Linked DNA regions of Coturnix japonica. The protein of the gene in region 2 interacts with the protein of the main gene of each other region in a biochemical or structural test. Links are inferred from orthologs where the notes say so. Each region holds a gene or a part of one and is shown on either strand. Other genes may lie near its edges. The genes, in order: CDK1, PRKAR2A and AKAP1.

Region 1 (3,750 bases), on a different chromosome or scaffold from region 2:
CTGATTTCACGTTTTGCTTTAAATGGGAGCAGGAATCCAATGGAATCTGTACTGCTCTGTCCATTGAGGGCTCAGTGGTGAGCAGACCACCCGCTGCTATTGCTTCACACAGAGAACTACGTCTCTTCAAACACAAAAGCAAATACAAATGTATCAGCTGCACGCGCACCTGTGTCAAGCAGCACTGTTAGCTATTGCTGGGTCTGCAACAATAATAATGCTGATGCTGCTAGTTAAAAAATTAATTTGGGTTAAGTCTGGAATTTCCTACACTTAAATTTGAAGTGAAAGCTCAATTTTGGCCACCTTCCTATAGTTTGTGGACAAGAGCCAGTCAGTGGCAGTGGTTCTGACCTGTGCTGGTTGCACAGTGCAGCCCCCAAAGCTATTGAGCACACACGGGCTGGCTGTGCTGGCCATGCGGTCAGGCCTGAGGGATGTGTCACTAACACTTTGCTTCAGCTGTGCAGCCAGTCTGTGCGCTGCTGAGCCTGGGCTGTGCTGGATTCATTACACAGGAGAGAGCTTCTCTGTGTGTGTACAAAGCACGTCGGATTCACTACCTACAAACTGTGCTGGATTTGAGGCTGTGCTCCTGCCCAGGGCTTCCCAAAGCGATGCAACAGCTTTGTTCTATGCAGGGAATCTCAGCAAGTGCTGGGAGTGCAAACAAAAACCGAAGGGCACGTGTGGTGCCTGTTTCTCAGGAGCAATAATTCCCCTTGAGGGAGGGCAAAGCGGAGGGTTTATGTTGCTGAAACTGATGTATGCCCAGGGAGGTTGTGGATGCCCCGTCCTTGGAGGTGTTCAAGACCAGGTTGGACAGGGCCCTGGGCAACCTGATCTAGTAAATGTGTGTTTGGTGGCCCTGCCAGGCAGGGGGTTGGAACTACATGATCCTTGAGGTCCCTTCCAACCCGGGTCATTCTGTGATCTGTGATTCTGTATGCTGGAGGGGGACACCTCCACACCAGCAGGTGGCGCTGTGGTGCGGGACGTGCCGCTCTCTCTCTTCTTCCTGGCGCCTTTCCGTGTCGCTTTGGCGCCGCCGGATCGTAGCGCTCCGATTGGTCGCTTTGAATCATCCCGGCGCTGCTCCATTGGTGGGTGGTGGCGGCAGCGCTGAGCGGCGGGTTCGAATCCTCGTCGCCCGCCCCCGGCTGAGCACTGAGCGCCCGCAGCGCGGAGCTGGTGGCGGCGCCGGGCCCGGTTGGCCGTGGTACCGCTACGGGAGCGAGGGGCGCCGGCTTTGAGCGGCCTAGTTGTGAGTGCGGCCGTATCGGCGCATAGGGGGGAGGGTGCAGGCGCTTGGGCCCTTATGGCCGCCCGCACGGTCGGGATGGGGGCTGGGTGCTGGTAGCGGGGTCCGTCCGCTCGGGCCTTCACGGGGAGGGACGGAGCGCCGGGCCCTGGGCTATGGGGGGGCGTTGGGGGCTGCGGGCGGTGCGGGGCTGCCGGCCTCGTGCGCTGCCTGCGGGCGGTTTCCAGGCCGAGGCAGGTTGCCGTTAACGTACGACTGGGAAAGCTCCCAGCTGGGGCCACGTTTCCCTCTTGATTCGGTGTGTATTTGTATGTAGGGATGGCGGGCTTTTTTAGCTGTGTCCCCTAATAAACGCTTCTTCCCTCCTTCCCCCCCCTTTTGAATCATCAAGCTTTTGGGGCTTTGTTTGCATTCAAGGAGCGCCTGTTGAATCTCACGGCTTTTTTGTTGCAGGTGTGCCCACAGCCATGGAGGATTACACCAAGATAGAGAAGATTGGGGAGGGTAAGTAAGCTTGCCTGGAGCTTTGCGAGGTTCTGCAGCTTGGGCTGCCAGCTGTTGTAAGCATTGTGACCTCCTGCTATCCGGAGAACTACTGGCATTCTATGGAGTCTTATATAGATGTAAATGCACTCAGGCTGCCTTTCTTCTGAAGGTGACAGTGTCTGAAACAGCTGCTCTGTGCTGGGAGCCATCTCCCTTCACACTGATGGCCAGTGGTGCACCGTGCCACTGCAGGGCAAAAGCGTTCTGAGTCAGGAAGTCGGCTTTCCTGTTTGGGAAGCTGGAACACATCTATTCTTTTGCAACTGCCCTTCCTTACAAGTTGCTCCTGAAATTGCACTTTGGGTGGCTGTGCTTTTGTTTGGAGCCCCTGGTAGGGAAAAAGTGCTACACAGGTGTTTTTACTGGGGTTCTGTGCTGTTGCTGCTCCCGTCACAGGGTGATACCATGAACCCGTGTGCAGAAGCGCATTTAAAACTATTATGTTGGTTTACTGTAAGGCACCTTAATGTAAAAGAAGGCCCGTGCAGATGTTTGTCACAACCTCCCTTTCACTGGGAGCCCTTCCTTTATCAAAAGTAGAAGTTGGTTCAAATAGTTATTTTTTTCTTTGAGATTTACCACTAGTTCCGATTATATTTTCCGCTGAGGCCCATAGTACTTTTAGCACTACTTTGTCATAAGGATTCTTGCCTATGTAGCAGTTCTTATTTGCAATGACTTATCTGCACCTGAAACCAGTATTTCCTATATGCGTTTCCCTGTTTGTTTGTTCAGGTACCTATGGTGTTGTGTATAAAGGGCGCCACAAAACTACAGGCCAAGTGGTTGCAATGAAGAAAATACGTCTAGAAAGTGAGGAGGAAGGTGTTCCAAGTACTGCTATCCGAGAAATATCTTTATTAAAAGAGCTGCGTCATCCCAATATAGTCTGGTAGGCATACGCTGGTATTTAGCCGTACTCTCTGAAAGGCACCAGGTCTCTTCAGATAAATTATTTTTCCACTGTTCTGGGAAGGAGGCAGTTATTCTGTGTAGTTGCTGCAAAGCAGACGTATTACACTTTAGTCCCAAATCTGGAGAGCAAACTGGTTTTTAATTAAGACTGTCTTCTGCTGCACCTATTCTAAGAATTAAAGAAAAGTATTTCTGTTAATTATTCAGAGTGGTTATTGGAGGAATGGAGACAGTGTGCTTCTGGGAAACTGTTTAAGTCAGCCTCAGAACTTTTTGTTATCGTGGGCTTATTCGTCTGACTTCAGTGTTCTTGGTGTGGGCCTTTGTCACCATGCACTTCCTTACTGTCCCATGGCAGAGCTGTCGGCGCTGCACTATAATGCTTACAGCTGGCACTTCTGATCTGCACCTGAAACTTCCATCAGTGGCTGCCTGATGTGAAGAACTGGTTGTAGTCAATGTCTTCTGTACAAAATACTTGCGCTTTAATGTAGTAAAATACTTTGGATTTAATGTGGCCTGAAATTGGCCAAGGTTCATCCAGGTGGTGTCCCAGTGGATGAATGCATGTATTTAAAAGCCTTTATAATCTATTAAGGATGAAGGAGATGCTTAAAAACCCATACAACTCCTGCTGCATCTAGGAGGTACCTATTCTAATGCAGAGCCCTTAAAGTCTTCCAATGATTCTGCTATAGTAAACCAGATTCAGATGGAAGTTAGGTACTGATACCTTCTTCAGCCTTCCCCTGCCTCATGCTAGGCACAAGGAAACACAAGATTCAGAGGAACCATACAAGGTGTTTGTCTCATATATGTTCAGTTTTCCAAACAACAGTGCAGTTAATCTTTGAAGACTGAGAGAAAGCTTTGTAAGCCTTTCTTATTAGGAACCTAGAAACATCAGCTTGTGTCCCTGTTGAGAAGGGAAACAAGCCAGCGGGTCTGCGTACTTTGCAGTGGAGTTGACTGTACCCTTAATTTTCAGTCTTCAGGATGTCCTTATGCAGGATGCAAGGCTGTACCTC
Region 2 (3,650 bases):
AGCTGCTTACTGCTCAATGACGTAGAAGTTGTCTCCATCATCCCCTTGATCAATCACATGTTCATGAGGTTTCACCTTCCTCTCAAACATGGCATCAAGGACTTGAGAAAGCTGCTCCTATAAAACAAATGAGGAGAAAAACTTGACCTGGACTTGACCTGGACAGTGAACTGCAACATACATCACACTGCACTATTTTTACTGTACGCAAATGAAAGTAATTTCAATAACAAATTTTGATTTTAACTGTGAAGTATCTCACTTTGTTTAAAGCTTATCAGTCTAAGTCCAATAATGAATACAAAAAGATACTTCCACTACAGAAGAGCCATCACCTCAAATATGTATGCTTAATGCACACTACGGCAATGCCAAAGCACACTGCATGTACCAAGATCTCACCTGGGATAATCATAGAACCACAGAATCATTTGAGACAGAAAGGACCCTAAAGGCCATCAGTCCAACCCTCCTGTAATGACCAGGGACACCCACAGCTCCATCAGGTGCTCAGAGCACATCACGCCTGACCTTGGCTGTCTGCAGTGCTGGGGCACCACCACTTCTCTAGGCAGCCTGTGCCAGTGCCTCACTGCCTTACCATAAAGAACTTTTCCCTTTATATCCAATCTACATCTCCTGTTTCAGTTTGAAACCATTTCCCCTTGTCCTGTTACAACAGACCCTGGTAAAGAGTCTGTCTCCTTCAAAACCTTTCACACCTTCACTGCAATGGACACTCACTGATTTCTATCAGCAATACATAAGTTTCATTATATGCATACCTAAAAACCAGGCAAACTGGGTTTCTCTTGTGAGCTGTGACTAAACTCTTGTAGGCAGCACAGACAAGGAAGTTGTGAAAGTCAAAGCCCACAGCCAGGCAGCACCAACCATACAAGATACTGCTTCTAGCACTCTTGCAAACACAGGCCATCTAGGCTTGGCTCTGGATGGCTCTGGCTCTATATCAACTATATTCCTGCTTTTCATTGAATTTTATTATCACATTTTTAAAAACTCTCCTGGTACTTAAACTAAACTAGGAATTACTGCCTGAAAGCAGTTTGTTCGAATAATTTGTCAAAAAACAATTAAAAATCCTAAAAAAAAATACTTTCTAAAAACACAGGAACTCAGCTGTGTTTTATTTGGAGAATAAGCAGGCAAAGACTTAGATTAAAGAAATGCAACAGAGAGTTCTTCTGTTAATAAGGGACTATGCTCTGTCAGACTCCTGAACTGTAAGGCTTTGTTGTTTAAAGACAAGTACTAAGGATGCTCAGGGATTTTTCTGCTAAGAATAACAATAGTTGCTCTCACCATGAACATTTCAGTCACAGCTCAAATTCTACAAATTCATTTATAAGATATTGTGGAGCAAATACATGGTATTTCATTCCAAGCTTTTAACAGCCAGTTTTCTACACTCCCTGCACTTTAGGTTGAAAAATACATCAGATATGTCACTGGACATGACCATAACTTCTATCTATATTATCACACAGTTAAACTCTGATATTAGTCCAAAACTCAATGTGAATCTTGCCACAAATTATCCAATGGACACTGGCTCCTTTGTATTTCATATCAAGTATTACAACAGCTACTCACACAAGAGTATTTAACACACAAGATATTTAACACAGTAGTTGAGTCTCTGGACCTAAATTCAACACAGTCCACCAACATGCAACCAGCAGAAAAGGAATGAATTTGGCCAAGACATTCAAGTTACATCTACACATTTAACCCTAGAGGGGTTTTACATGTTTTGTTGGTTTTTGTTTTGTGTTTTTTTGGGTTTTTTTTTGCTGTTTCATTTTTTAAAGTTTTACATCACACTCTTTGGAAGTTTAGAAGCAAAAGAACAGACTTGGGGCCTTCATTTGGAAGTGTTCCTCATAATTATTAAAGGACATTAAACAATGAGCAAAAGCAGCTATCGTGCATTTCACAATTCAGTAGGTTCTGTGTGGCCAACCTTGTAAATGAGTCATGTTTTACAACTATACAGAGGATGTTGAAAAGAAATCATCAGGATGAGCAGCAAAAAAATGCGAGTCTCATATCCCACTTATACCCAGTACTAGAAAAGCTCTTCCCTCTCTGCTAAGTGCCCTTTGTCACACTATAATTAACGTACGCAATGCAGTCATCTTTTTCACCACATGCTATCTTAAAGCTTGAGTCTTTAACAGCTGCAGTTATGATTATTTCCACTGCTTCTCTTCCCAGTTGCTTAGAAAGCTTTCCTTGGGAAGCAGTATTTTTCTAATCCCATTTTCTAGGTTCAAATTTGTTTTTTTGAAGTTATCTTTAAATATGAACTGGTTATTAATCACTGGGTTGTTTTGCTGGGAGCCAAGAGATCAGCCTCATCAGTCTGAATGGTGATTGCATTTTGTACATACTAATGGAGCTGAATATTCTTAAACATGTTTCATTGTTTACAGCAGCCAAGAACTGGGAGAAATTCCTAATTTCCAAGGGAAGCTGAGCAGTACTTCTGAAGCCATGAAGTACATACTTCCATTCCTCAGGAAAAGCTCTGATTCAAACCATGAAGCTGTAGGTACCATTGCTGGTGTTACAGCTTTCATTATTTCTGATATATGATACCAAAATTTATTCAATCTGTATTGGAAATATCAGTTCCATACAGATAGAAACAAAAACAGATATAAATTATTCTATGGTTTTTCAGAGGCTGGATGTGATGAACCCCAAAGGTCCATTCCTGAACTGAAGCAAAGAGCAATTAACTTCAGCAATAAGTCTGTAAGATGAGCAGGAACATGGACAATCCCAAACCATGACTTTTACATTCACTTACAGAAATGTTACTGACACACTGCAGATCATAAAAAAGTGAGCAATCTAAAATGAAGCAAATGTAGGCAGTGATGGTAACTGTCAGTCTGACCTGCTTATCTGTACTGTTCATTGATGGCAACCTCTAAACACATGCCCCAAGCCAGTCTGCATGTAATTAAAAATTCATGAACGATCACAATGTAAAAACAGTGTCTGGACTGTTAGATCAAACTACTGAACAGCAATAATTCATGTTTGGATTTCTTTAAATTAATATTACCTGATCTAGATTTTTGAAGAGCAGGATATCTTTGCACGCCTCCTGCAGTCTGCATCGCTGTTCATCGGTTTTTGGATGAACTATCTTTAAAACAAAGTGAAAATAAATAAATGAACTGTCACAACAGCAAAGAAATATTATCGCAAATTAAACCTTCACTTCAGAACAAAAACACAAATACAATGTCAGGTATCGTTGTTTACAGCTCCTTTTTACTGTCTGCACAAGCAGTATTTACATACAAACACATAATGCGAGGCAAAAGAAAATAAAAGAAAAACCCATAAGAAATATATTATTCTGACAATTAACACATGCAAAACAACAGTAAAGAGAGACAAAAAAGAAAAGGATGCCTTTTTTTTTTTTTCCTTCCCTTCTAACCCAGCCACAGATACAGTCAAGGCTGGGGAACCCAGATGAAAAAGTCAAGTTTCCTTCCTGAACTCTGCCTATATTAGTTCCAACACCTTCACTGTTGGCAATTCAGAGAACTTACAACCCATATGAGACGTGTCTCTGATCACCTAATAACACAAGTTACCTAAGAAAC
Region 3 (3,581 bases), on a different chromosome or scaffold from region 2:
GAGTCAGTGCAGTCAGTGCCTTCATTTCTCTTCCTTTCAGAAAGCAGATACAGCTGCTGCCAAAAAATACCTGACCAATTGCAGGGTGCTCTGGTACCAGGTATGGATAAACTACTCACGATTCACATCATTGCTCTGCTTGGCTCCAATAATGAACTTGTCAGCATTTTAAAGAAGCTTTGTCTCTGCACAACAGGATGACTCCCAAGTTTTGAGAGCTTTCAACACACACGTGGGATCAAGCAGCTTCCCAGATCCACAGGGTAAATTCACTGCACCATGTATACAACTGAGTACTGCTGCTCCAACAAAGGCTTTCTAATAGGCAATTCATCACAAGGTTATGGCCAGTTTTCAGCTCTTTCACAGAATTTGAAATGGAAAAAAAAAACCAAACCCAAAACCAGGAGATTTGAAGCTTGACCTTTATGTACCTGCTGAAAAGCCATTGGGGCTGCACCTCACCTGCTTATCCCACTGAGCTCTCTTCCAACTCTACATCCCAAGAGGTCTAGAAATGAAGGCTCTTAGTCATCACAGTTTGATTAAGATGGCTTAAAATTTGAACTTTAATTGAAATGGGAAGAAACATTCCAAAAGGATATATGTATTATAGATTTAACTGATTACCAAATTTAGTTTTCATTGGAAATTATTGCAAATACGAACATTAAATAGTAGAAAATTCAAGAAAGGATAATCATACCATATCAGAAGGGACTGGACCAAATACTTTTGTAGGCAGTTATCCAAATGCATGACATAGGGACACATGGGCTCATTGGATGTAAAGACACCCCTGAATCCACCTGAAAAAACCTGGGAGGCCCTGACTACATAATTTGCCTGGCAAGTATCTTCTCCACCAGCAATAAATCCCAACTCAATACATATCTAAAGTGATAAACATTAGAGGGCATGTGCTTAAGAGTATTAAGTCAGCTTCAATTACTGGGGCAAAAAACAAATGTTTTCAGTTTGTGATACAAATAAATCTAAAAAGGAGAAAAAAAGAAACAAAAACCAAACAAAACCAAAAACCGAAAAACAACAGTGAGAGAGAAAACCACTGCCACACGAATGTCAAATGGGTACTTCTTTCTTTTTTCTCTTTTTTAAACAGGTCTGTACAGAAACATAGCAAAGAATGCAGTGATCACAGCTCAAACCAGACAGCAACCTACGGGAATGCTAATCCTGTGGACAGTACAGCAGAAACACTCCCATCTCCAGATGCTCCAAATACATCGGCTACCCTAATGCACTCCAAACCAGTTCTACCTACAAAGGACATTTTGGTGTGAAAAAGTTTCTGTAAAGTTCCCTTTGTTTCCAGTGTTTTTCTTGTACAAAATATTACAATGTTTTTAATATATATTTACAGACTTGCACAGCTAGAAAAAATACAAATTACAATTAGGCTTGGCAATCGGTTCTTTTCTTTAAATACATAATATTTCAGAGCAAAATTGTAGTGGTAATGTATCCTGCTCTTCAAGCGCTTCTTCCTTAAGCTTATCAAGCATAAAAAGCACGATCGCAGTGAGACGTGTCACAGTATGTGCAACAAATGCAGCTCATCAACCTCCTGGCATCAAGAAGATAAAAGATGAACGCAATTTATGCACGTTAGTGGCACCATATAGAAAACTCCGTAACTGAACATTAAATTCCTGAATAACATTCATTAACTGCACAGGCAGAGCCTGCTTAAAGAATAAAAAGGACAGCAACTGTAACTTCCAGGAAAAGCAGACACCAACTTCATGGGCACTACACATCTCCAACTCAAATGTAGCCACAGCCAACATTCCAGGGGCATTTGGTAGCTTCAAGCAAGCCCCAGGATTTGAAAGGCTTTTGCCTTTTAAGTAGAGGCCAGGGAGAATTTTTTGCCTTAAAGCTACAGTATCTCTCATTATGGCTTTTAACACCCTGCCTTTCACTGAGATGAGGTATGTGTTTCTAGTGAAATGGTAACAGTTGAGCAAAACAGTTTTCAATGGACCACAAAACTCTGCAGGCAGGTGTAAACAGATCTTCCGTAAGAGGTTGCCAAACCGAATTGTAACAGTGCAAAACAGGATTATTTTTTTTTTTCCCTGTTAGGAAAATGTTGTCGAGGCATCCAGGACACCACTAGTAGTTGTCAACCCACTGAGCAAATCCTCTTTCCACAAGAGTTCTGTTTATTGACACCACCTGAAGAAAGAGGAAAAAAAGAATGAAAAAACCACTAACAAGAAAGGCCACGTTCCAAATCAGCACTGTGATGAATCAGAACTGAAACATGTTAAACAACAGCATGGCAGCATACCTCATCTCCCATCATACTCCACAGCTGTATCAGTGGCAGACCTGTTGCACTGTCATAATTCGTGACCTGGAAACAGAAAACAGCAATTTGGTCTCATTCATTATAGGTGCAGAGCTGGTGTAATTCACTGCATGGTACTCAGTTCCTCAACTCACATGCTAGATCAGGGGAATCAGCTGCTGCCACCACACAGCTCAGATAGTGCTGGCAAGTTTACTTTATTTGCTCAAATCTCTGCCCTGGCCAGAATTACTTATGCCTTTGGGCACTGTGTTAAGCCAAAGGAAGCTATAAAGCTATCACAAACACTATCAGGCTTCCCACTCATCTCATTTCAATTAATTTACACTGATAGTTACAGCCACTATGAGAAGCACTTCAAAAGAGGTAAAGTCCCCTTCAGTAAGACCTAGCACCATGCACAGAAGCCTTTGAGCTCCATTAGAATCCCTTCTTCCACTAACCAGCCACAGGCCACATCTTTCTGTGGCAGGAACACTCCAGGCTGGCAGGGCAGCACAGTGCTTCACCTGAACAGTCCGCTTTGGCTCCATAAGCCCATTTATGTATCCATCCTCATCGTCTGCATCAGCTGACAAAAGGGATTCTTGCCCCTTTCTTTGCACAGCTCTTAGAGGCACACAGTCCCGTGCAGTGGTGATGCTATACAAGGTTGCTACACAAGCCTGTTCTCAGGAGCTTAGGCTTCTCAAAAAGAATCTTGCCCGGCAGCCAGGCTTACAGGTTCTAGACTTTCTGATTAACACACACACACACACTATACTAGGGTTAGAGAGGATAACAGTAGCAGTAAAATCATCAGCAAGTCTTTTCCAGACAGCTCTCATGTACCTGCGCCAGCAGTGCTGCCCCTCTGGTCATCTCACTAACAGCAGCATCAGCTTCTGATGAAAAGTGATCCTCATCTTTGGAAAGAAAAGAACAGGAGAAAACAAGTGAGATATTCACAGGCTTTAAAGTCCAGAAGGTACCATTAATCTAATATTGTCTGACCTCCCACATAAGTTAGGCCAGAGAGAATCCTCACCTATTGCTGCTGCAGGCATTTGCTGAAACCAGTCTATTAAGCAGGAGATCACAAGTATTATGCCTGCTGTGTTGCTGAAGGGAGAGGATGAACTGCTTTTCAAAGCCACTAGCTAACTTCACGTGAACATGAGTGGTTGAGGAATGAGGAAGCTTTAAAGACAGAAGTGTTCTTTTGCAGTACCTCTGCCATTAATATTTTGATCCTAAATGAAGT

Evidence for each region.
Region 1: the proteins of PRKAR2A (region 2) and CDK1 form a complex in vitro, tested with the Homo sapiens proteins (2 studies listed by BioGRID, with this or other methods). The link is inferred for Coturnix japonica from reciprocal best matches to the Homo sapiens genes PRKAR2A and CDK1.
Region 3: the proteins of PRKAR2A (region 2) and AKAP1 form a complex in vitro, tested with the Homo sapiens proteins (2 studies listed by BioGRID, with this or other methods). The link is inferred for Coturnix japonica from reciprocal best matches to the Homo sapiens genes PRKAR2A and AKAP1.

What each region holds. Positions count from the first base shown.
Region 1 is NC_029521.1:6,516,423-6,520,172, forward strand, and holds the start of CDK1 (cyclin-dependent kinase 1), read left to right. Parts: upstream 1-1,090; 5' UTR 1,091-1,264; intron 1,265-1,503; exon of another isoform or gene 1,504-1,559; intron 1,560-1,714; 5' UTR 1,715-1,728; coding exon 1,729-1,765; intron 1,766-2,542; coding exon 2,543-2,699; intron 2,700-3,710; coding exon 3,711-3,750. UniProt on the Homo sapiens protein: Plays a key role in the control of the eukaryotic cell cycle by modulating the centrosome cycle as well as mitotic onset; promotes G2-M transition via association with multiple interphase cyclins.
Region 2 is NC_029527.1:9,279,249-9,282,898, reverse strand, and holds part of PRKAR2A (cAMP-dependent protein kinase type II-alpha regulatory subunit), read right to left. Parts: intron 3,182-3,650; coding exon 3,098-3,181; intron 118-3,097; coding exon 11-117; intron 1-10. UniProt on the Homo sapiens protein: Regulatory subunit of the cAMP-dependent protein kinases involved in cAMP signaling in cells. Type II regulatory chains mediate membrane association by binding to anchoring proteins, including the MAP2 kinase.
Region 3 is NC_029534.1:7,711,497-7,715,077, forward strand, and holds the end of AKAP1 (A-kinase anchor protein 1, mitochondrial), read right to left. Parts: intron 3,244-3,581; coding exon 3,170-3,243; intron 2,384-3,169; coding exon 2,318-2,383; intron 2,203-2,317; coding exon 2,140-2,202; 3' UTR 546-2,139; downstream 1-545.